Linked DNA regions of Rattus norvegicus. The protein of the gene in region 1 interacts with the protein of each later gene in a pairwise test. Links are inferred from orthologs where the notes say so. Each region holds a gene or a part of one and is shown on either strand. Other genes may lie near its edges.

Region 1 (4,864 bases):
TGTATTGCTCAATGTGGCGACCTTTCTTAGCTCCACATTCAGAGACAGTCATACTAACTGCTGCTATGGAAGCGTGACTGCATGTTAGGAATGGAACTGGTGAGCTTCTGGATGTGTATGTAGCCCACAGAGAATGGGGGAGGAATATGCGGTATATCCAAAGGGATGCCTTAAAGAGGGCCAGTGCAATCCAATCTAGTTCAAATGTCTTGTAAGCATTTCTTCCTATCAGTGTAAGGCACTGTTAACTTTATACCTGCACATCCCAAAGGCAAGAAAGTGCATTGTGGCAGTAGCAAACTAAAATAGGTTGAAATTGTTTTTTAATAAAAGGTTATCGATAAGCAGATTCAAGAAAAATCTGACCTCCTAGCTCCCCCCCCCCGGTCAAATTAAATCATTAAAACTTATTCCAAACTGATGCGTATAGAAAATTAAAGTTGATAAGACATTCTGGACAAGGTTCCCACAAACGTGATACTACAGTGTGAATTAATTTGCAGTATATTTCAACAAATCTAAGAAGTATTAGGTGTAGTTCCATTTATTTCAAATCCTTGGCATTACCGTGCTACACCATCTACAGGTAAGCTAAAACCTGGTAACTTTATCCCTGCGACCTAGACGGATAAAGGAGTGATTTTTGGAGAAAAAAAAAATTAAATGCCAGCTGAAATTTATGCCGGTTCACAGATATCTCTGCGGCAGGCTCGAGACGTGAGCTGCTGTGGACAAAATGTGGTAGCAAAGGCCTCAGTGCTTAGGTTTGCATTTCATTCCAGGAGCAGCGGGAAGGCGAGTGCCCGGTTTCAGGGACAAGGCCTTCGTTGGGAATCCATCAAAGAAGTGAGGCAAATAACAGAGTAAAGAGACTCAGGTTAGCAACAGTTTACCTTTTAGCGCCAGCAGGTGCTCCTGTTTGGGGGGATTCACTTCCATTTTGACCGGCACTTCTGACCTCAGCCTATACAGGCTGAAGTTTCACTGGGTCTGGAAGGAAAAGTGCCAGGCACAAGTCCCGGAAGATCGGCCTTCAAACGCACGCTCGACTTCTTTCTGCTCCTGAGAACTTAAATTCTCTTTTCATTAAGTCCTTTACGGCTCCAGTGAAATCTTTTTACCAAGGCCATTCCTTCGTTCAGAAATACACATATTTTCCACACAGGCTGACTTCAACGATCCACTTCGGGCTGACAATACGCGGCTTCCCAAAAGCTTACATTGCCCAGGGGGGGTGGGGGAGGGAGCTACTGTCGTGGCATGCTGGGATTTGTAGTACATTTTATACAAATTTAGCAGTGTACGCAGGGCGGTGGGGGAATGTGGTTCATTTACTCATTCTGACTCGTTTCAGTACTAGAGAAAAAATGTTCCAGGAATGGCATTTTCACCATAAAATTTTATTTATGTTCCATACTTTTAATAAAACACATTTTCTCCTCTCCATTACTCACATACGCCTTTATGGAAAAACAGCTCGCACGCGCAGACCGTACAGCCAATGACTGACGGAGAGAAAAGGTCAGAAGAGGCGGGACGACTCCCCGTCTATCCTGCGCATGCGTGAGGGCGGCACGCGCCGAGGCTTCTGGGTAGGTCGCTCAACCCCTCCTCTCAGTTAAAGGCTCTACTGCAGCTGTGCCGCTGCTCCTTCCAGGATGGCTGCCCTCGCTGTAAACAAGCCCGGAGCAGGAGTAGACAGTGGGCGGCAGGGCAGCCGGGGGACGGCTGTGGTGAAGGTGAGGGAACTTGCGTGCTCTGTTCTCCACCTGCGGCCTCCCTTCGGTTCGTCCTGGAGACCTGGCCGCGACTGTGCGGCCCAGGTTTGGCCGGGCTGGATGCGCGGCCTCTGGTGGGCGTTACAAGACTTTCCTGCCCCTCCGCGGTCCTTGCCCAGCGGAGCTGAAGTTGCCTGGTCTTCTAATTCAAGTGTTAACGTCGTCCGTGGGGCTGTTTGTGAAAAGCACCGCGTGGGCCTGTGAAAGTTGACCCGGACTGGGTCTTGCCCCTAGTCTTCTGTTTCTAGTGATGCCTCAAGAGGCATTAATTGACGTAGTTGTATTAAACACTCATTGCAATAGACAAGTACTATGGTAGATGTTTGAGTTCGCTAATAACTACTTAAAAGGTAGATGTTAATTCGCATTTTACGTGGGAGGAACCCTAGGTTTAAGTTAATACAGTGTGTGCTAAGGGCCCAGAGTTTACTGGTTGTCAACGTCTGCCTTCCAACATTGCACAGCTGTCCCTTGCTTCTGAATAGTAGAGTATGAAAACTTATGAAGTCCCCGACTACAGCACAATTGGGCTTTAACATTAGATGTATGGAGTACTGTCTCCTTAGAAGATTCTACCGAATATTTACAAGCTACATTTACTAAAAGTTAACTAGAAGTATGTGATGATCATTTCCCCCACCCACTGTAACGTAGATCTAAAAGGGGCATGTGGTTTAGGGAGTAACTTGGAAGATTATCTGTAGCCAAGAGATTAAACAACTCTTTCTGAGTGTGTTGATGTCAGGACATTTATTAAATCCCCTGAAGAAATTTTAAAGTACACTTGGATTTATTACAGTGAACCAAGTTTGATTGGACATTCTTTAATAGTAGATATCTGTCTGTCTGTCTGTCTGTCTCTCTCTCTCTCTAGCAAAGGTCTGTTTTTGAGAAATTTATGCCTAAAATTTATCAGTCGTTTTTTATTGGTGTGTTTGTTTTGAATCAGTTAACTTTTTATACTAATGAAATGTAGAGGAGCCCCCATTAAGCATATTTTGTGTTAGAGTTAATATTTTGCTTTTGCCAAATGGGAATACCTGCAGAATATTTTGTCATTCTTTCCCATAATTGGAATAGCATGTTATAATTCTCCTTAATACTTTTTCACTTTATCATATATTCTGCATGTATACATAAAAGATGTAATGGCTGTAGTTTTGGCATATGAATGTACCATAATGTATCTTTCAATTTAGTATTTATATGGATCGTTGCTTGTTTTTAATTATTTAATGATACAGATAGTACTTTAAGGAGTTACATTGATTTTGTCATATGTAGACTGGGGATGTGATTCAGTAGTAGACCATTTACCTGATATAGTCAGGGTCCTGAGATTTCCCAGCAGCAGAAACAGCAACAGCAACAAGGACGAAAACATTTTGATTTTGTCGTGCATGTATGATGTAGTTCCTTAAGAACTGCTAAATTGTGTCCATGGGTGCTATATTACTCAGTAAATTTTTTGTGTCAGGCAGTGGAATTTTTTTCCTGTACTGTAATTAGTGCCAAGCATTAACAGCTTTTTGAAAAACTATCTTCATGTCGTTATTCTCTGTAGAATGAGTTAGATTGAACTCTTAATACAAAGTTTTTTTATACATTTAGCAGATATTTAATTTGTCTCTTTTTCCTTCGAATTATACCACACTTAAGTTTCTTTTGAACTATTACCAGTACGTGAGGTAATTACAAATTACCAGTTTAATTACTGTGAAAGATGTTTGTATCTCAATTTCTAAGTCTAAATGTATTAGAAGATCAAGTTTAAAATTGCAATGGGTCTAATGAGATTTCCACTCTTTAAGTTTTCTATTTTTTTTTTTTATTTTGTGTTGCATGTTTGGTGGCCTGAATTGTGTTTCAGTGTTATTTTGTTGGGTTTTATTTGCATCAGCATGTAGGTGCTTTTGTATCTGGAGTGTACTGTTCTGCACTCTCGTTCTAATAGGGAAAGACAGGTTAGTCTATTAAAGTATTGAAGTATTTGGGTCAGACAAGCAGATAGATATTCAGGGTGCATGGAAAACCAGAGGATAATGTAATAATTGAAATTGGAGTGAGAGATTGGGAGACTAAGAGAGATGGGATTTTTAGGTATATGAATATAAAAACTTTAAAAAAGGAAACCAGTAGGTAAATGTTTAGATGTTTCCTCAGTGTTAATTAGAATAAAGAAGGGATCGAGAAACCACCAACCACAGAAGCAAGTGGTCCTGTGCTGGGATACACATGTAGTAGAGGGGACTGAGAGGTGTGGCAGTGAAGCAAGAGAATGGTAGTCAGTTGTAAAAGCACTGGAAATGCTATATTGTTATAATTACGTTTTGCAGACTATACATGAAATATTAGCCCATGGACCTGAGTGTCAGAGTGAGCCAGTTCTCGCAGCTTTTCTTCCTCACTATCTTTCAGTAAGTCATATACCTGTGATTACTTGTGTAAGAACAGGAATTGAAATTTAATTCTCAGCTAATTTTGTTTTTGCCTTTACATCATTTTGTGAAATCTAGAAGATACTTGAAATTCCTTGGAAACTGTCTTACAAGTTTTTTTATTGTTTAGAAAAGTGATTATCATCCCAATCCACATTTTAGATTGTTTTATTGAAATCAGTGGTAGTTTGGCTGGACACAGTGGCATCTCCTATAGTAACTTCTGGGAGGCAGAGGCAGGAACATTACTATAAGTTTGAGGCCAGCTTGGACTGAGGTCCATTCAGGGGTAGTCAGTGAAACGTCATTTTACAAGGGAATAAAACAGGGCCTAGAGAGATAATAAGCTATTGACAGCACTGAATGCTCTTTTGAAGAACTCGGGTTTGATTCCTAGTACTCCATGGTAACTAAGAACCATCTGTAACTCTAGTTCCAGGAAGTCTGATGCCCTTTCTTGACCTCTGTGGGCACTGCATTAGCATGATGCACCCACCACACATGCAGGCAAGACACCCATGCACAAAATAAAAATAAATCTCTAAACACTTTTTAAAAAGGAAATGAGTGCAAAATGAAATGATTGTTGATTGGGGGTTTCAGTAGAATTATAGATTGTTACATATTTAGTTTTCAGATTATATTATG
Region 2 (3,386 bases), on another chromosome or scaffold:
TGGTTGTGGGAGGGGCAGCTTGGAGGTGCCTGCGGCTCTTCGTCCACTCTTGTGAACACCAGGCAGTTGACTCTGTTGTCTTTGTTATGGGCCAGGTAGTTGAGAGGGACTTCTTGAAGGAGGTGGATAGAGAACAGGTCCTTTGCCAGGAGGACAATGACCCTTGGAAGGAATACAGCGAGGCTTTCTTCTTGCTGTCCCTATACCCCTTGAACAGGCCATGTGAGCAAAACTTCCACAGAGCAGCAGCACAGAGCAACTGGAACAGCCTCATCAGTGAAGGCCCTACAGAATCAGGAAGACTCAAAGAGGAGGCAGAAGGATTCAGAGAAGAAGCGGAAACACTCTCCTGACCGGTAGGAGCTGGTCCACTGGGCTTGCATGGTATGGGTGGCTCAAGCAGTCAGGGAAAACTTCCAAGGCAAAGCAGGGCATAGAAGCAACTGGGAACAGCAGTAGGGGTGGGTTTTACGGCATGGCTTTTGAAGATAGGCTGGCTGCAACATGGGTGTGACAAAAAGGTAAGCTACATTCTGGCTTTCTCCACAGACGGGATGGACCTGTGCCCAAGACTGAGAAAGCGGCGCCTAGAAACAAGCACTGGTTACACAGGGACCTACGTGTGCGGTTCATTGACAAAGTGCACAAGGGTGGCCGCTATTATAACACCAAGGTATGATTTCCACAACTGGAGACCCCTTCCTCACCCAGGACTGGACCCTTTAACTTTCTAACATCTTACTTCTATCTCTTCATCTCTCTAGATGACAATTGAAGATGTCCTGAGCCCAGGTACTTGTGTGTGTCGGACGGATGAAGGCCGAGTTCTAGAAGGTAAGTCTGAGCAGTACCTGGGATGTTCCTCTCTTAGAGAATGATAAAGAAATGGCCTATTTGAGGAGCTGGAGAGGTGGCTCAGTGGTTTAGAGCACTGGCTACTCTTCCAGAGGACTCAGGTTTAATTCCAAGTATCCACATGGCAGCTCATAACTGTCTGAAACTCCAGTTTCAGAGGCTCTGTTCTGACATCTGTGAACAGCAGGCACACACACGGTGTTACAGACATAATAACATCAAGCAAAACACTCATGCACATAAAAGAAATGAATCTAAAAAAGCTTAAGGAAAGGGTGCATTCTAGTTCCTGGGAGGCAGGGCCAACCTGGGCTGCAATGTAAAATCCTATTTTATTTTTTTTCTTTTCTTTTTTTTCGGAGCTGGGGACCGAACCCAGGGCCTAGCAAGCACTCTACCGCTGAGCTAAATCCCCAACCCCCTATTTTATTTTTTTAAAGATTATTTATTCTGTATAAGTATGCTGTAGCTATCTTCAGACACACCAGAAGAGGGCATCAGATCCCATTACAGATGGTTGTGAGTCACCATGTGGTTGCTGGGAATTGAACTCAGGACCTCTGGAAGGGCAGTCAGTGCTCTTAACCGCTGAGCCATCTCTCTAGCCCCCAAGATCTTATTTGAAAAAGAAAAGAAATGGAGGTTGGAGAGATTGCTCAGTGGTTAAGAGCACAGAGGTCCTGAGTTCAATTCCCAGCACCCACATGGTGGCTCACAACCATCTGTAATGGGATCTGATGCCCTCTCCTGGTGTGTCTGAAGATAGCGAAGTATAACCACATACGTAAAATAAGTCTTTAAAAAGAAAAGAAATGGAGAAAGAGTGGGGGTAGTACAAAAAAGAAAAGAAGAATCTCGGGCCAAGAGCTACGAACCTGGGCAGGGTTGAGGTTTTTGCTAGGCCCAGCATCCTCTTCCAGAGCAGATACTTCCTAGAGAGGGATAACCTAAACCCTATGTATTTTCCAGTTTGTGCTGTGCTTTGCCCTGGACTTATCTGTATTTTGATGCTAATTCCACTGACCCAAGGACAGCTGCCTAGTCATATTTTTACAAGTTTGTCCCTGTCAAAACTATTGCCTTTACGGGAAGAAGTGTACTGAAACCCAGGACATAGTTTCTGTAGGAAAATGTTCGTGTATGGTGGTTATTTCTATGAACTACTCCTTGGTTTTCTCACCTGTGAAATGGGTAGAGTGGGACTCCATCTATCAACAGTCTATAAGAGTAGCTTTAATAAATATTAGCAAAGGCCTCTCTGACAGGATCTGGCCAGCCTGGCCCTTGCTGTGGACTTCATTCCCCTCTTTTCTCATCTGTAGGTGTGAAAGAAGGCATGCTGGAGACCCTGGTTCCCAGGGGAGAGGGCCACCGCGTGATGGTGGTACTGGGACCACATGCTGGAAAGGTAAGTCCTATGTCTGAAAATGAGAGTCTGGAGATCACATCAGTGAGGATCTGGGCTGACCTCGCTCACTCTGCCCCATCTGTCCTCAGGTGGGACTTCTTCTGCGTCGGGACAGAGCACAGAGTCACGCTATGGTCCAGCTTGGGAGAGAGAATCAGGTGGTGGAGCTCCACTATGATGCCATCTGCCAGTACATGGGCCCCGGTGACTCAGATGAAGACTGACACATGGACCATTGCCCGTCACTCAGGCTGTCACTACTTTTGTTACAATTTATAACATGCCAGAGGAAGATGGGAAATAATTGTTTGAGATGCAAAGATGGGGATGTGACTAGATAGAACAGGCTATTTACCAAAATTTAGAGCATAATAAAAACCATTTTCAATGGTGAAAGGTTGAAATCAAAACCAGTATGTGAACTGTAAATTTGGGTGGGAACTGAGATAACAGAAGTAGAAATACTTCGTTTCTTAACCTCATTTCCCTGCTGAAGGTGCAGGGCAAGTTAGATTACCCACTCAATACATAGCTCACCCTTGGAACTTAAGAACTATGAAGTCTATCCCCAAACACTATCGAATCTGCAATGCCACATCTCAGAACAACTTCCTGAGTTTGGGTCTTGAATGGCCTTCAAAGGCCCATATCTTTTTTTTATAAGATTTATTGTATGTTGCTGTTGTTGTTGTTGTTGTTGTTGTTGTTGTTGCTTTATGAGAGAGAGAGAGAGAGAGAGAGAGAGAGAGAGAGAGAGAGACTGTGAATATAAATGAATGCTTTCAGAGACCATGAGTGTTGAGTTCCCCTAGAGTCGAAGTTATAGGCAATTGCAAGCTGCCTAGCATGGGTGCTAGGAACCAAACTGAGGTCCTTTGGAAGCGCAGTAAGCACTCTTAACCACTGAGCTACCTCCCCAGCTCATATGCCACATGGTAAAGGATTTGTGCTCAAGACTGTACTACTAGCATATACTTTTGACCTTTGAAAAATAAAGGCCTGGGGGAGATTACTTAGGTCATGACTTAGAACCTCTAAAACTGATCCAAATAATACCTTTCCTCCTTATAATTTAATTACGGCTGGAAGTTTGTCAGAGGAAGGGGAAAGTAACTCTTATTCC
Region 3 (3,342 bases), on another chromosome or scaffold:
CCTAGCTTTGCTCCAGGAGCTTTAAAATACTTTGAGACACTTCCATAGTGATCAGGATAAAACACATTAGTGTATCCCACAATGCACATCGGCCTGTTGCAAGGACAAGGAAGAGGACAGCAGAGCAGCTGTGCTTGGAGCCCTTTGCTGGCATCATGCTGCTTTTGGAGAAGTTCAGCTAAGGAGAAGTCTTGGGTGCTGTGGATGTTTCCCTCTGCCAGGCTGGGTGATTCATATACTGAACCTACTCCTTCCAGGGCTTTCCTTCAGGGAATATGTCAGACCCTGGCTGGCCTGTCCCTAGCTCATATGCCATCGGAGGATCCCCAAAGGCGGTGGCCAAACCTCAGCCCAGGTAGGCTTTCCAGTCTTCAATCCGGAATGGGAGCTTGCCCTGTCTTTCAAACTACCATGCACCATATGTCCCTCAAGGGAACTCAGGTGCCCTTGGTTCACACCCAAAGAAGGAAGGGCCTGTCCGTGGGAGCTGAGTCCCTCTAGCACCTTGAACTGTTCTAGCCTCTTTGGACATGGGTATCCTAAGAGGAGGAGCCTGGGTGTTCCTGAGTCACATGAACTGGTGTCCAAGCAGGAGGAACTGTGGTCAGAAACAGTCTTGAGGCTGCCATCAACTCTGGCCCTTGGAGCCCTCCCCCCCCCCCCCCGAACCTGACAGTGTTTCTGCAGACTTACAATTTACTGCCAAGTTTCTGTTTGTGTCAGGCAATCATGGAGGAGGCTGGGGTGCCAGTGTGACCTCTTTTTTCCCTTTCCCTGCTCCAGCCTCTGCCCTCTGTAATGTTCATCCCTTCTGCCCGTTGTTACTGCCCGTTGTCAGCACAGCCCCTCCCTGTGGCTCAGTTTCTTCCTTCAGTGTACCAGAAGCAGGTTAGCTCTGTTACCCACTGTTATTCAGGAACATTTCAGCTTCCTGTTGGTAAACAGGAGCCCCCAAATTGGGCCCTGGAGTCAGTTGGTGGCCTGAGGCTGAGTGTCACTTGAGGAAACCTGAGGGCCAGATGGGCAGCGCCATCAGGTGTCTGGGGCCTGTGTAGCAGAACTGGGGCTCCCGAGTATAAAGCCAGCTGTGAACCAGAGCTGACGGTCCTATCCAGTCTGCACAGCCAGGCTGCACATCCTTGAGGAAATGCAGTGGCATGCCTCCTTTACTGTCTTGAGTGATCCTAGGGAGCAAATTAGTGTCAAATGACCAAGTGTTGAGAACGGGACAGTCCACAGAGTTAAATTTGACTATCAAGACAAACTGGGAAAGAATAATCCAGAGTCCTCAGAGGCACTGAAGAATGGTCAGGAATTCAGTATGAGCAGAGACAATGGGAAGGGCCAGGGGCCAGGTGAGGACAGGTGGTGCCCATTATTTGGGAGGGTCAAGGAGGGTTATGGCACCAGCCCTGGTGTGGCAGTCCATGGTGGCAGGGGTTGGAGCTAGGATATTCAGGGCGGGATGGGGTGGGGAGTGTTCAACACAAGGAACGCTGGATCATCCTGAGCTCTTAGGCCACCCCTTTCCTTCCCATTTCCTGACAGACCCCATGTGGGAACCTGGGCCCAGGAGCCCTACAGGATGCAGGACGCAACAGACACGGTGCGAGGCCTTGTGGTAGAGCTCTCCAGTCTCAAGTAAGGGCAACTCAAGTTACCAGAGGTTACAACATCGAGTAGGAACTGAGGTGGCATTCCAGGTGTGGGTGAGGGGGTAGTGTGGCCCCGGCCCAGGCTGTTTCTGTCTTGCCTCACTGCACCTGCCATTTACAACACACCTGTGAGGAGCCACCTGGCAGGTGTGGCTGAGACAGGGTCCTGTGCAGTGGCAGGGCACAGCTAGTTCCACCCTGTTTCTGTTTCTTCAACAGTCGACTGATTATGAGCACTCACCGGGACCTGGAAGCCTTCAAGCGCAGGAAAACCAAGTCTCTGCCTTACCTGACTAAGGGGTTAGGGAGCCTTGCTAGAGGGGATCAGGGCTGGAGGGACTTGTAAACTGCTGTAGCCTGTGGGGGTCAGCCTACCATAGCTTATAGGCAGGAGGCTGAGGGTGGCTACTCCCATGGGACAGGGTGCCTGAGCTTTAGGAAGTCATCTGACAGAGCATGGCCCTGCCCCAGATGCTCATCCAGGTTTGAGCACCCAGGCTCCTGAGCTGAGCTGCAGTTGTCTTTGTTTCTGGAGGGGAGCGTGCCCTCTGTTCTGTCTGTCCTTCCCCCATGCTTTCTGTGAGTTTTGGGAAGGCAGGGAATAAATGATGCAGTTGTGAGCCTGATCCGTAGCTGTGTGGAGACGTCCTGGTCCTTATGTCCTGCCCATACACCTCTCTAAACTCAACTGGCCTGCAGTTGCCTGCAAAGGCTACATGTAGGGCTAGCCAGAACCACTCCTGCTAGAGCAGGGCTGCCACAACACAGGGCAGGAGCTCCTCATAGCTCTAGAGAATGACGGTGTGTGGGGGTAACACATCTACACATAGGTTACAGGGCACAAAGCCTCCTTAGCTGTTACAGCCAAGGTCCCTATGCAGAGTGAGGTCCCTGTCTACTGCCTAGGAGTAAGCTCTGATCACCCGCCTCACCTCCCACATGCCTCTGGACACGGCAATGCTTAGCTGTGCAGGGGGTGGAGGGGATCCTATTTGTAGAAATACACACCTCGGTTGGCTTAGGCCTTCGTATCTCAGCCTCCTCCACCTAGGGGAACCCAGTGGAGGAGGCTAGGAGACAGGCTAGGTCTTGGCTGGAGGAACAGCTGTCCCTAACCCCACCTAGCCCATGCCCTGCTCCTGGGCTTAAGACTCAGGTTGGTGGTCTGGCTTTTGCAAGGAGCTGCTTTCCCTGTGCCACTCACAGGCTCTGGGCTACTAAGGAGCCCTCCTCCTGCTGCCTCCCTCCTCCCTGGCTCCCAGGCCAGGAGCAAGAATGCAGGCTGAGGGTAAAGCCTCAGGCCAGCTTAATGAACCCAGGAAGTACCTTGTTCAGCTTCCCCCAGGACAGTAGAACTGAAGGAGGCAGATGTGTAATGAGCCACAAAGTATAGCCCTATCCCCAGTTGAGCCGGCAGTGCCCTTTGTGGCAGCCTACAGCCCCCAAGATGGGAGATGGTGGTGGTATCTCTGGAGGGACACTGATTTGGTTTCTCCATCCCCTTAATTCCTGTGTGCCTTCAGTGCAAGGAGAGGCCCCTGTTTTGCACATCAATAGGCAGTGGGTGGCTGGGACTTTAAGTCTCTCACAGCTGCCCTAAGGGTGCCTGCTCCTGATTGAGTTACTACAGGTGACCCAAGATTCAAAGGGCAGTTTGTCAGGTGGGAGGTGACAGGGTGAAGATATG

The links.
Region 2: the proteins of Trim23 (region 1) and Gpkow interact in binary tests that used the Homo sapiens proteins (3 or more experiments, as listed by UniProt). The two-hybrid records come from large-scale screens. The link is inferred for Rattus norvegicus from reciprocal best matches to the Homo sapiens genes TRIM23 and GPKOW.
Region 3: the proteins of Trim23 (region 1) and Brme1 interact in binary tests that used the Homo sapiens proteins (3 or more experiments, as listed by UniProt). The two-hybrid records come from large-scale screens. The link is inferred for Rattus norvegicus from reciprocal best matches to the Homo sapiens genes TRIM23 and BRME1.

The regions. Positions count from the first base shown.
Region 1 is NC_086020.1:37,034,624-37,039,487, forward strand, and holds the start of Trim23 (E3 ubiquitin-protein ligase TRIM23), read left to right. Parts: upstream 1-1,581; 5' UTR 1,582-1,658; coding exon 1,659-1,739; intron 1,740-4,114; coding exon 4,115-4,195; intron 4,196-4,864. Other genes in the region: Trappc13 (trafficking protein particle complex subunit 13), read right to left, coding at 894-939.
Region 2 is NC_086039.1:17,465,101-17,468,486, reverse strand, and holds part of Gpkow (G-patch domain and KOW motifs-containing protein), read left to right. Parts: intron 1-217; coding exon 218-356; intron 357-549; coding exon 550-673; intron 674-764; coding exon 765-834; intron 835-2,177; coding exon 2,178-2,263; intron 2,264-2,352; coding exon 2,353-2,487; 3' UTR 2,488-3,386. UniProt on the Homo sapiens protein: RNA-binding protein involved in pre-mRNA splicing. As a component of the minor spliceosome, involved in the splicing of U12-type introns in pre-mRNAs.
Region 3 is NC_086037.1:40,893,760-40,897,101, reverse strand, and holds the end of Brme1 (break repair meiotic recombinase recruitment factor 1), read left to right. Parts: exon of another isoform or gene 1-216; intron 217-257; coding exon 258-355; intron 356-783; exon of another isoform or gene 784-888; intron 889-1,548; coding exon 1,549-1,641; intron 1,642-1,874; coding exon 1,875-2,001; 3' UTR 2,002-2,281; downstream 2,282-3,342. UniProt on the Homo sapiens protein: Meiotic recombination factor component of recombination bridges involved in meiotic double-strand break repair.